2 linked regions of the Drosophila melanogaster genome follow. The protein of the gene in region 1 interacts with the protein of each later gene in a pairwise test. Each region holds a gene or a part of one and is shown on either strand. Other genes may lie near its edges.

Evidence for each region. Proteins that work in one complex are often made in the same cells at the same time.
Region 2: the proteins of alpha-Catr (region 1) and CG10257 interact in a two-hybrid assay, tested with the Drosophila melanogaster proteins (one large-scale study listed by BioGRID).

Annotation. Positions count from the first base shown.
Region 1 is NT_033778.4:23,955,913-23,962,139, reverse strand, and holds alpha-Catr (alpha-catenin related), read right to left. Parts: upstream 4,299-6,227; 5' UTR 3,951-4,298; coding exon 3,921-3,950; intron 3,809-3,920; coding exon 3,628-3,808; intron 3,568-3,627; coding exon 2,060-3,567; intron 2,002-2,059; coding exon 1,681-2,001; intron 1,628-1,680; coding exon 1,421-1,627; intron 921-1,420; coding exon 804-920; coding exon of another isoform or gene 735-803; 3' UTR 509-734; downstream 1-508. Other genes in the region: CG13566 (uncharacterized protein), read left to right, coding at 59-138, 193-485; CG16787 (uncharacterized protein), read left to right, coding at 4,958-5,719; thoc5, read right to left, coding at 5,845-6,087, 6,144-6,227.
Region 2 is NT_033778.4:14,940,465-14,944,984, reverse strand, and holds CG10257 (uncharacterized protein), read right to left. Parts: upstream 2,588-4,520; 5' UTR 2,034-2,587; coding exon 1,896-2,033; intron 1,787-1,895; coding exon 1,721-1,786; intron 1,215-1,720; coding exon 927-1,214; intron 847-926; coding exon 652-846; 3' UTR 516-651; downstream 1-515.

The DNA.
Region 1 (6,227 bases):
AACCACCCAGTGACTATGACATATATATATATGATATGCTAAGACCATCTCCTCTTAGGATCATCGAGGGCACCTCAAACTATGGCACCTGTGAGATAATTCTGTTGACCTGTGGCGTTCTGTTCTTCACCATAGAGGGTAATATGGCTCCTGGGATGCAGTAATGTCAGAGTGATGAACTCTCTCCTCCAGGACTACTGATATTCTTCACGGTGGAGCAGCTGTCCGAAGATCTGCTGATATTTGCCTATGCATTGGGAGCACTTTGCTTCATCTGCGCCGCTCTGTTCGCCCTGGACCTGATGTTCTTCAAGAACCTGCTGAAGCTGAGGGACTCCACCGTCCAAACAGACCAGTCGAAGGAAACAGTGGCCCTCAAGGTGTACAATCTTTCGCAGGAACCGAAGATGAGCTGCTGCAACATGATGCCCCGCACTCACATCGTGAACGAAAGCAGCAGGAACTATCTACGCACCGACTTGTAGACCCAAGTGAAAGAGCTCGAGATACATATGTATCTGCATCTGCGTTACCTTTATTGCCGTAACATCGAATGTAGTGAAACAAAATATGCATTATAAGATCGTGCTGCTGAAACAACTAATTGGACTCGTATGTTAATAAAGTTTTCGACATTAATCAACGCTAGAAGCGGCCGCCAACTAATACGCGTACACAAAACGGAATGCAGTGCCAACAGTGTAGACTACGATAGCAAAACCCCCGGGCTCCTCTCAGAACAGCAGGAAGGACACCCTCGTCCTTCGCGCATCCCCCTTGGCTCGGCGAGCCATCCCGTAATGTCAGGGAATGTCGCTGCTGCTCGTCGTCCCCTTGGAATCGCACATGCCGCCGGCCATGTTCTCGTTCGACCGCTCCGAGGTGAGTCCTCCGGTTATGCCAGTTAAATTTAGTTTGTACTGCAAGGCGGAGCAAGGGGATTAGGATTAGGATGGAGTTCGTAGAGGAGCTGGCACTGCAGCTTATGAGTGGCCAAAACCAATTGTTGGTTAAAGGTCACAGTTGGGTTAGATAAACACACGATGGGGGATCTTATCAAGCTATCAACTCAACTCAACTCAAAACTCAATACATCAAGATACATATGTACATACATGCGTGAAATACAAAAGTTAGCGATTAAGATTAAGATACAGCGCCATCTACATTAGCAAAGTCGAAAGTAAGAGATGTAACTAATAAGATTGAGAGTTTAGAAACGGGGATTGAAGCACATCCTCAAAAACCAAAAGGCTTCTCCTGCGCCCCTGGCAACAAACGAAAGCTCTAAAATCATACCTGTAATAATGCATGCTTTAATATCACAGTAAACTATAGAAATCATACACATTGAGAAAGTCTGTAGTATCATCCACTACATATAGGAAATGGCCGCGTGGGCCTGCCTCGGCCTATTTACCTTAGTTGCGCACTCAAAGCACTTCGACACTACTTTGTTTATAACGTTCATAAGGTTCTTGGTTTCCCTGATGACGTGATCGACCTTCACGAAGGTGGCGGCTTTACCAACCGTGTGGTCTTTGACTGTAAACTGGAGTGCTTGGACAAAAGTCGGCACTCTATCTAAAATGTTGAGGAGATCCTTTTTGTTGTCACTGGCGGGAACCTAAACAAGCGCAGAGTTAGCGACACGGATGCCCATTATCAACCGATAATTACCTGGTATGAAAAGTGGCGGAGGACTTTGTAAAGTCGATTGGCCTCCTCCGCAAAATATTCGGCTTGAGTAAACAAATCCTGAGTTGTTCTTAGAGAACCGTTGCCCTTGGTAAACTGATACATTAGGAAAGCCATCGCGGACATGTTCTTGGCTCTCTTCAGTATGTCGTTGTCGTCCGACAAGTCTTCGCTCCATTTTGATTGATATGTGTTCAGATCTCCGTTGTTCTTGCCTTCGAGGCCAGAATACTCAACCATTTCTCCGTCTTCTGTTGCAGGTACACCGGATTTTGTTAGTTTGTCTGAGGAGCTTTCGCATTTCTGGGGAAGATCGGAAGTAAGTTAGTGATTACCTCGCCCACTCTGGGCAGCAACCCACCTCAGCATCAGCATCTCTGTCACCCTTGGTGGTGTTGATCGAGACGAGGATCTTCTTGGCGATCATGGAGATCTCGTTCGTCAGCCACTTCCACATGTCCGAGAAGGACTCGAAGTTCTCGTTGGCCGCACTGCTGTTGGAGTACTTCCACAGGATTTTGGCCGCGATGAAGACCTGCGGCCCGTAGATCCGCAGGTTGATCGCCAGGCACTTGGCCTGCACCTGCAGCCGCTCCGTGGGCGCAATGTGCTGCAGCAGCTTGCAGATGTCGAAGATGTGATCGCAGCAGTCGTGGAACTTCGAGGAGCGCTGGTTCAGATTGTCGATGTCGTAGTTCGTTGCCAGTACGTGGAACGACTTGACCAGCTTGGAGCAGATCTTGAGCGACTCGTTGAAATCCTCGATCTGGCTGGACACGGAGACGACCAACTGCTTGCACAGCTCCTCCAGGCTGCTCAGCATACCCAGTTCGGGATCTGACCGACCCTTCACCTGGCCTCCGCCCACTCCTCCAACTCCACCGGCTCCACCGCCACCCTCGTGCTGATCCTTCATGATGGTGTTCAGGTAGAGGTCGAACTCCAGCTTGCAGTTGTCGCAGTAGGAGAGGATGTTCTTCCGATGGTTGTGGCTGATGTAGGGGGAGTCGGTGAAGTCGTGTGCCTTCTCGAACAGCTTCTCGAAGGCGAGCGAGAGCTCCTCGCGCAGGTCCAGGCTCTCGGAGCTGAGGTGCTTCCTGAAGTTCGTGTTGTTCACCATGCGGCCGCCGCCCGCCGCGGAGGGCAGGTTCTTCTCCGACTTCCACAGGTCATCGTCCAGGAAACTGAAGTAGGCGTCGGAGTTGTTGTTGCCCTCGCCAGAGCCCTCGTAGTAGCTCATCTGGTACTTGTACCGCTTGATGAGGTTCACAATGCGCTTTATTGTCGTGTAGATGCTCTCGTTCTCGTAGTTCGGGTTGCTCGCCTGCTTCTCGAACGGCATGTGCTTGGCCGTGTCGAAGATGCTGTCCTTCACCACGAAATGGATGAGGTCCATGGCCCTGCGGATCTGGCAGAACACAGTGTCCCGGTTCTCCTTCACGATCACGCAGTCGCTGTGGATCAGGCTGTTCTTCGAGGACGTCAACAGGATGGCGATGGACTTCTCCAGTATCTGGCGGGCCGAGAACATCTGCGCCCGCCGTCGCTCCTCCTTGAAGGAGTTGCGGTGGTGGCCCGTGAGGTAGGCCAGCTCAATCATCTCGGTTCCGAACACGGAGAAGGCGCGCACGAATTCCGTGAAGTTCATGACCGACTCCAGCTTCTCCAGGCTCTCGGAGGCCCGCTTCTTGGCGGTCAGCAGCTTCTTCACAACTATGATGTCGACCAGCAGTAGGATGCGCGTGACGGACGACAGCAGGGAGCGGGCCGCCAAAATGATGGCTCCATAGTCCTTAAGGGGCTCGATGTGGTGGCGCAGCTCCATGCCGCTTAGAGGTGAAATATCACAAAGTCGTTCAATCGATTTTCCTATCGTACAACAAAATACAATGAAAAGGATGTACCAGGCTGGAAAGGATGTCTTCTTACCCGCATCTCTGGCCTCCTTCGCCGCCTCGTACATGTCTCCCTTGATGTCAATATTCTCCTCGGCGATGATCTCGCCAATGGTTATAAATCGCTCCACGGCAATGTTCAGCAGGTGACCTATGTTCCCAAAAGTGGACATGATCTGCTCGTTATCCATATCACGAACTCGAAAGCGTTGATTCTGGAGAGGGGAAGGAGAGCCCACATTGGCAGTTGGTTGGGTTTCAAGGCCAATCAATAATCGCTGAGGACTAGAACGGAAAGTTATCCCGGACAGCCGGTTGGGTACTTACGTTAACAGTTGATTGAGTGATTCCGTACATTTTGGATAGCTCGGTTACCGATAGAAAAATTGATTATACGTAGTTTAAGAGTATCCGCAAAGCGAGTTTCAGGCATGCAGCATTTTTATTTACTTCCTATTGATTTTTCTCAATACTAGGGCTAGCAGAGTCGAGTAGACATTGCAACTAAGTCGAGAATTTGGCACTCAATAATACGGTCACCGATTAGCGCGTCATAGTACGAGGCTCTATGGGTTTAAGCTCAAATAAAAGTCGATTTTTCAGCCAGCGAAAGCTCCTCAGCTCAAATTAGTGTTATATAGCTGGGTGGCTGTAAACAACGTGTTTACCTGCAGACAGATATATGTGTATGCCCCCAGATTTGTGTGTGATTCGAGCTTGTAACAAATTGGTCTGCGCAGCAAGTCTGCGCACAAAACCATTTAGTACTGTAAAGTGCAACAGTTTCTCGTCAAACGCCTCCTGTGGGATTCGATGCGGATGCGAGTGCCTGGATTCGATGCTTGTTGAGGTACCAAACATTTATCAGAAGAACAACCAAGAAAACCGCATAAGGCAACTCCAAAACCATGTACTTACATAAATGAAAAGTGTTTGAGATTATTGCACTTCAAAAAAGAGACAACATATTTCATGTAATAAGCTTGAAACACTAAATTCAAACCAAATAAGTTATATTTTCCATTTTCATGACTTCCGGTTGCGGAAGTTAATTTGTGAAACTAATCCGGCATGACAACCCTGGACAACGGGAGTTCCCCTAACATCCACACTGGCACTCGCAGCTATTGGGACATTACACACAGTCTGGCCACACTGCAGCCCAACGACCATATGATTTTTGCCGAGTATTTTATTTCCAAATGTTGTTACCTAAACACGAGCACGTCAAATTCCTGAGGGCCGCAAACGAAAAATAGCCAGGATCTAAGTTCAATTTGAATGGTGTGATCTGCAGACGAGGCAGATCTGAATCGAGGAAACCCAGTTCCGGTGAAGGAAGTAGCACACAAAGTCCTTGCAAGATGTTGCGAAATTTCGGGATTTCATCAATAAGAAGGAGCAGCTGGATGGCCAACTGGTGCTCCAAGGAGCGGGCGTGGGCGTCCGCCATGCGGCTAAGTGCGTCTGCGCCGGCGAAGTGTCCACAAAAGTTGTTAAACAGCCATGCCGCCAATAACCTCCAGCAAAGTCGAAGGGCCTACGAGAGCACCAAAGCGGAGAGGCTGCCCGGGAACCCTAAGGAGAACGAGCGTAAGCCCGAGGACCTGGATAGAGCCTACGAGGTTCTGAGGACCACGCTACCAAAGCTGTTCGTGGAGCCCCTAGACTACTCCATTTACAGCCCGGGCCTAATCTTCCACAACAACATAACGGGCAAGCACACGGTGGGCCTGTACCACTACGTCAAACAGATCGCCATCCTGCGAACGGTTGGCCACCTGAAGTACGCCTACGTGAAATTCGAGGTGCTCAAGATCACGAAGCACCAGGACGACTACACAGTGCGGATAAGGTGGCGAGTGCGCGGCATTTCCGGCCTGAAGGTCATGTTCCAGTTCTGGAAGTACAAGCTCTGGCAACTGAAGGAGGTGCTGAAGGATCAGGAGGCCTGGTACGACGGCTACTCTGTCTGCTATCTGGGCGACGATGGGCTGATCGTCAAGCACGTCGTGGACAAAGTGATGCCGGACGAGAGTCGGGAGGCGGTTGAGAACCCTTCTGCGACGGCACTACCTCCCGGATCCTTGGCAGCGACCTCTTCCCAGAAGATCAACTGCCAATGAAGTCGTAGCTAGCTAGCTTTAAATGTTACTTATTTATTGTATTACTAATCGTAATAAACGCAACTGTGAGAACGTTTAGTAACCGCATTGGCGCATTGTGTTGTACAACATTCGTTATTCAACTGTCACTGCTTGAACGCGTAGACCGATCCCTTCTTGATGTATTTGTAGGGGCGTGAGCGGCTCCGCTTGGCGAAGGCGCTTATGTAAGGCTTCTCCTTGTTGTACTCAATGGTGTTTTGCATGGATCCCTCGGTTTCGAGGAATATATCGAAGCTGTAGATGGTGCGGAAGAGCTGCGCGTACAGGATGCAGTCGTTGGGCTCCAAATGTTTGGGCTGCAGGGAGTTGGTCCAGAACTCCATCATCTGAGGAATACAAGTTTAAAAGCTAATTGGAGGATAATACCTGAATAAGTTCAAACCTTGATCGCCGAATTGTTTTGCGCGGTAAGGCATCCGTTCCAGTGCACATTCAGAATCCATAGAGGCATTTCCAGTGGATAGTT
Region 2 (4,520 bases), 9.0 Mb from region 1:
AAATATTGTGTTTTTAATTGAAGCTAAAGATAAATTTCAGCAAAAATGTTACTTGTTAATGTATGAAAAGCAAATAAAAGAGAACAAATTAAGCGCATATTGTTAAATTTCCAAATACAACGCAATCTAAGAAAGTAATATTGATCAAAGTTTTTGATTAAAGAACATAGCAAGCAATCAATTTAAATGCAAAACAAACAGGACAAACTGAAAAACAATTTCAAATTGCACTTAAACGTTACCGATTTTATTAGTAACAACCAATATTCTTTAGCCTATCCCAATTATTATGTTGTTGTGTTTGATAACCAAGTTCTATGAGTAAGTTTAATTAGTATATAATGATTTTACTGAGCGTATAACATCAATTTGTATCTTCTTCAACTGATGTTTCCGACTAATTTTTTAAACTGGATGCACTTTTGGCATATACTACCAGATGCTAGCAAAATGAAATTGAAAACGTAAACGATAGTTGCGTTACAATTATGCATATAAAGAAAAACGAATAAAGTATTGTATAAGACAAAGTTTATGTTTTAATCAAATTGAAAAGAACTTTCGAAAAACGTTTATTAACAACTGGGCACAAATTCAACAAATGCAAAACGTTATCCTATCGTATCGTATGGAGGAGCCTTCCATTGCCCCTCAGTTGCTGCTCTGCAAAATGGAGACCGGCTCTTGCATAATCTCCTGAATCTTCGCCTCCGGAACTGCCACCCCATTCGCCAGCAGAGTGTGAACGATGCCATCATGTTTATTGCCACTTGAGCGTGCCTGAAGCACGAATTCCGTGTCCTGCAGCAGGAACTTGGTGTCTGTGCCGCCGTGAACAAAAACCGACTGCGATATGGGGGTAATAAAGTGTGTGAGTATGGTGTGTGTGTGTGTGTGTGTAGGTGGCAATAGCCCATTTCCCTCACCTCCTCGGTGCGCAGCTCATCGTTTACGTAGAGACTCAGCGTGTCCAGTTTGAGCATTATTCTATATTCCTGCGGCGCATCGGCGGCCGCATCATCCGTATATAGCCACAGTCGATATTGCCGTGTCATGTCCTCGGTGTACTGGTCGTGCGATTTGCCGTCGATGTAGAGGGAGTACTCGTATTTGAAGCCCGGCGCAGGATCAACGCGTATGATGCAGCGCGTCTGATCGATGTGAAAGGTGTCTTCGCCAACCAGTTTGAACATCCAGTCGCGACGCAGGACTTCCTGGGAATTTGATTAGGAGAAGAAAATTAGGCGGATGAACTTTATAGTTCATTTTGATAGCCCTTTAAATTGTTGCATTTGCTCTACCAGTTTATCACTCATACGCACCGTTGTCTTTGGTAAAATCTTCTATTTTGTTTGTTTGTATCGATTTAATTTATACAGTTCATATGGACTTAAAGTTTAAAAGCACTCTAAAGCACTAAAGCACTTTAGTAAGAAAGAATAAACCCAACGGTGTACTAAACATAAAAACTGAAATGCTAAATGTCGGTGAGGGATGACAGAAGTATATACATATATGTTTAGAAATAATAAGACCCAAAGAATTTAATTAAATATTTTTATCAACTAAATGAGACCTTTTTAAATATCATTCTGCATTGCTGAAGTACGATTACGTACGTACACGACCCGTAATTAAGTTTACCTTCACAATGCAAATACTTTACGAGCTCCAAAGCCACCAACCACCCATTCAGCTCGCTGGGAGCTAAAAAACTTACCCGTCCATTGACCCAAATCATGCGCCGCCCACTGGTTGTGCCATGTTCCAGCTCGATGCGGTACATCTGCGCAAAAAAAATAAAAATTACAAAAAATAAAAATGGGAATGGGCGGATAATTATCGCGAATTTCCATTAAATGTAAGTGGCGGTTTTGAAAAATAATCGCAGGTACCTTGCCATTGATGGGCACACACCATTGAGCCACAATATTCTGTTTGTTATAGCGCTGGTCCTCGGGCACATGATCCTGCGTCATCGTGGGCTGCGTGGACAGATTCTCCAGGCGCAGTGTGGGCGAAAGAAAGGACATGGGTCCGAAGCCTCGTGTCGATCTGGCTCTGGCCCACCGCCAGTCAATCAATAAATCCTATTAATATTTATAGTAATCGCCTTTAAAGTGCAGCCAACTAAATGGGTTACACAAAACCAGAGAAAACCACGTAGGTATAATATATCTATAATATTTGGGAAGTTCAAGGAACTCAAGTTTGTCTAATCTGCAGATCTGGCTGCAATGCACTTTCACTCCACCCCTATGTTTGTGGGCTTAGACCCCGAAATCGGGCTAGAATCTATTCCGCTCTCTGAATTCAACGGGCGGCGAGAAAACCCAAGACCGAACCGCACGTTGTTAGCGCCAATGGCACACTAAACAACAAACCACCGTGTACAATAAAAGCCAAAAGGAGGAGCCAAAGAAAAACTAGTTGGCCCGGCTGGCTGCCTTTGCCTTTTGGCCGGGCTCTCCGGCAGCCCAGCTCAGCTCTGTTCCGTTCTGTTCTGTTCTGGCCTTAGCCTCAGCCGTGCTTCTGGCCGAGAGTCGCGGTCGCGTTTGTCGGTCTGCCAAAGTGCAGAGCAACTACGCCGCGTGGCGCCAAAACAGAGTTGATTTGTTTCCACTAGTCGTGTGCGTGTGGATATGAGGCTGAGTGTGTGTACAGGGAAAGTCTCCTAAGACCTACACGCATATATTGGCCATACTTTAAGCGGCGATCTTTGGAATATAGTTAGCATTCAAGCCGGATACTTGGCACCCTCATACAATCCTATTCCTACATAACTGTAAAGTTTACATACCCAATCCATTTTCTACACAAATATGGTGCTTCTCCTTTTGGTTCCCGTTATCAAGTCTCCACTGTAACTACTTCTCAATACCCCCACCGAGTGTCGCTCGCATAAAAATAAACTTTGCCCCGTCAAGTATGCAATTGTTTCTGCATTGCAATTGGGCTGGCTGACTTTTCGGAATGAGCCTGGTTTTTCGCCAATGCCTCCGGCCTCCAATTGAGCGTAAGCCAAACAATATTCGTGCATACATATTTTATTCTGGATGACAATTATTTGGCCCTGGGGGATAGAGGAACTCACTGTGCCACATGGGCGCAATCGTCGCAAATTTGTCGCATTTTGTTTTGTTGTCATGTTTATGGCGCAACATTTTCTGCCCATAAATACACGCCGAAAATGCTAATGACCGATTGGGGGTGGGTTAGTAGTGGGCAATGGGTGATTTCTTTACGCTGCCAAAAGACTTGCCGCCTCCTATTGGTATTTCAATCGACCAGAAGCGATATTGATAAATGTATTTGGGCCAGATTGGGGTAAGGAAGGAGTCGCCAACGAAACGGGCACATCATATGTCAAATCAAGTTTCCCAGCTCTTGGCTCCAACCCATTTAGCCACCCAAATGTGTGGGTGGCAAGAAAAACATATGCCATCGCACCAGCACGCGAAGGTCACTGACAAAGCGCCGTTTGAAGTCGCTTACAGTTTTAGTTGATGTTGACGCTATCAAAAGGGGCAGAGTGGGTGGCGATGGGCGTGCTTTCGCCTTTCTCTGGATGTGAGTGTGTGTTTGCTGGTGTGTGAAGAAGGAAAGCGTTCGCTTGACAACAACAACAAAAACAGCGTTGGCAGATAACGAAACATTTGACAAGGACAAGGCTGCCCGCCGCCCATCAACTCCCCTATCAGCACGAAGCTCCCCGGGAGGCAGTGTGTTAGTGTAATTATTAGTGCTCTACAAAATAAATAAGTACGTATATTCATGCAAACATTCAGTTTTTTCCACGCTTCCTCGCGGATCCCCAGGCTAAAGCACTATGGGATATCTTGTGGATATCTGCAAAATAAATCTAGTTATATTCCACATCCAATCCTTAAGTATTTTAACTAACTTTGTACACATAAAGAACCAGTAAGAGGAACTTGCTCATGCATATATACCCTTAAAATCCATTTGAATGAAAAGGATCTTATGATTTTGCATCATATTTTTTGTAAATCAAGTTGAATGAGTACAAGGTTATAACAGAAGCTAAATCAAAGATTAATATATGTATATACTTAAAAAAAAAAGTTTGGGTAATATACCCAAATTTAAATTATAAATTCGTTCTTGTATATTATAATAAATAAGATTTAATTTATGTATATCATTTTTGGATTAAAAAATCATGATAAATTATATATCTAAATTATATTTTCTTATTATATGTGACATTGCAATACCTCCATATTTCATAAGGTATTTTGCCCATTTATCTTTTCCAGCCCATCGTGCGCGGTTGCGCTTTTTCGTTCACTACTTTCCAGCTGAATTTACGACCATTCCGCTGGTTGTTCACTTTTTATGCAAATACATGTGGCCAAAAGTGCCGCAACAGACAACATTCGGTGGCGCTGTCGCTGATGATGTCGTAGCCAGTGGAGCCGCGGAGCACGGTGGCAGGAGGTGCATGTAGCGGATTCTCCAGGGGGATTGGATTGCGTGCTTCGCTGGTGTCGGCCAAA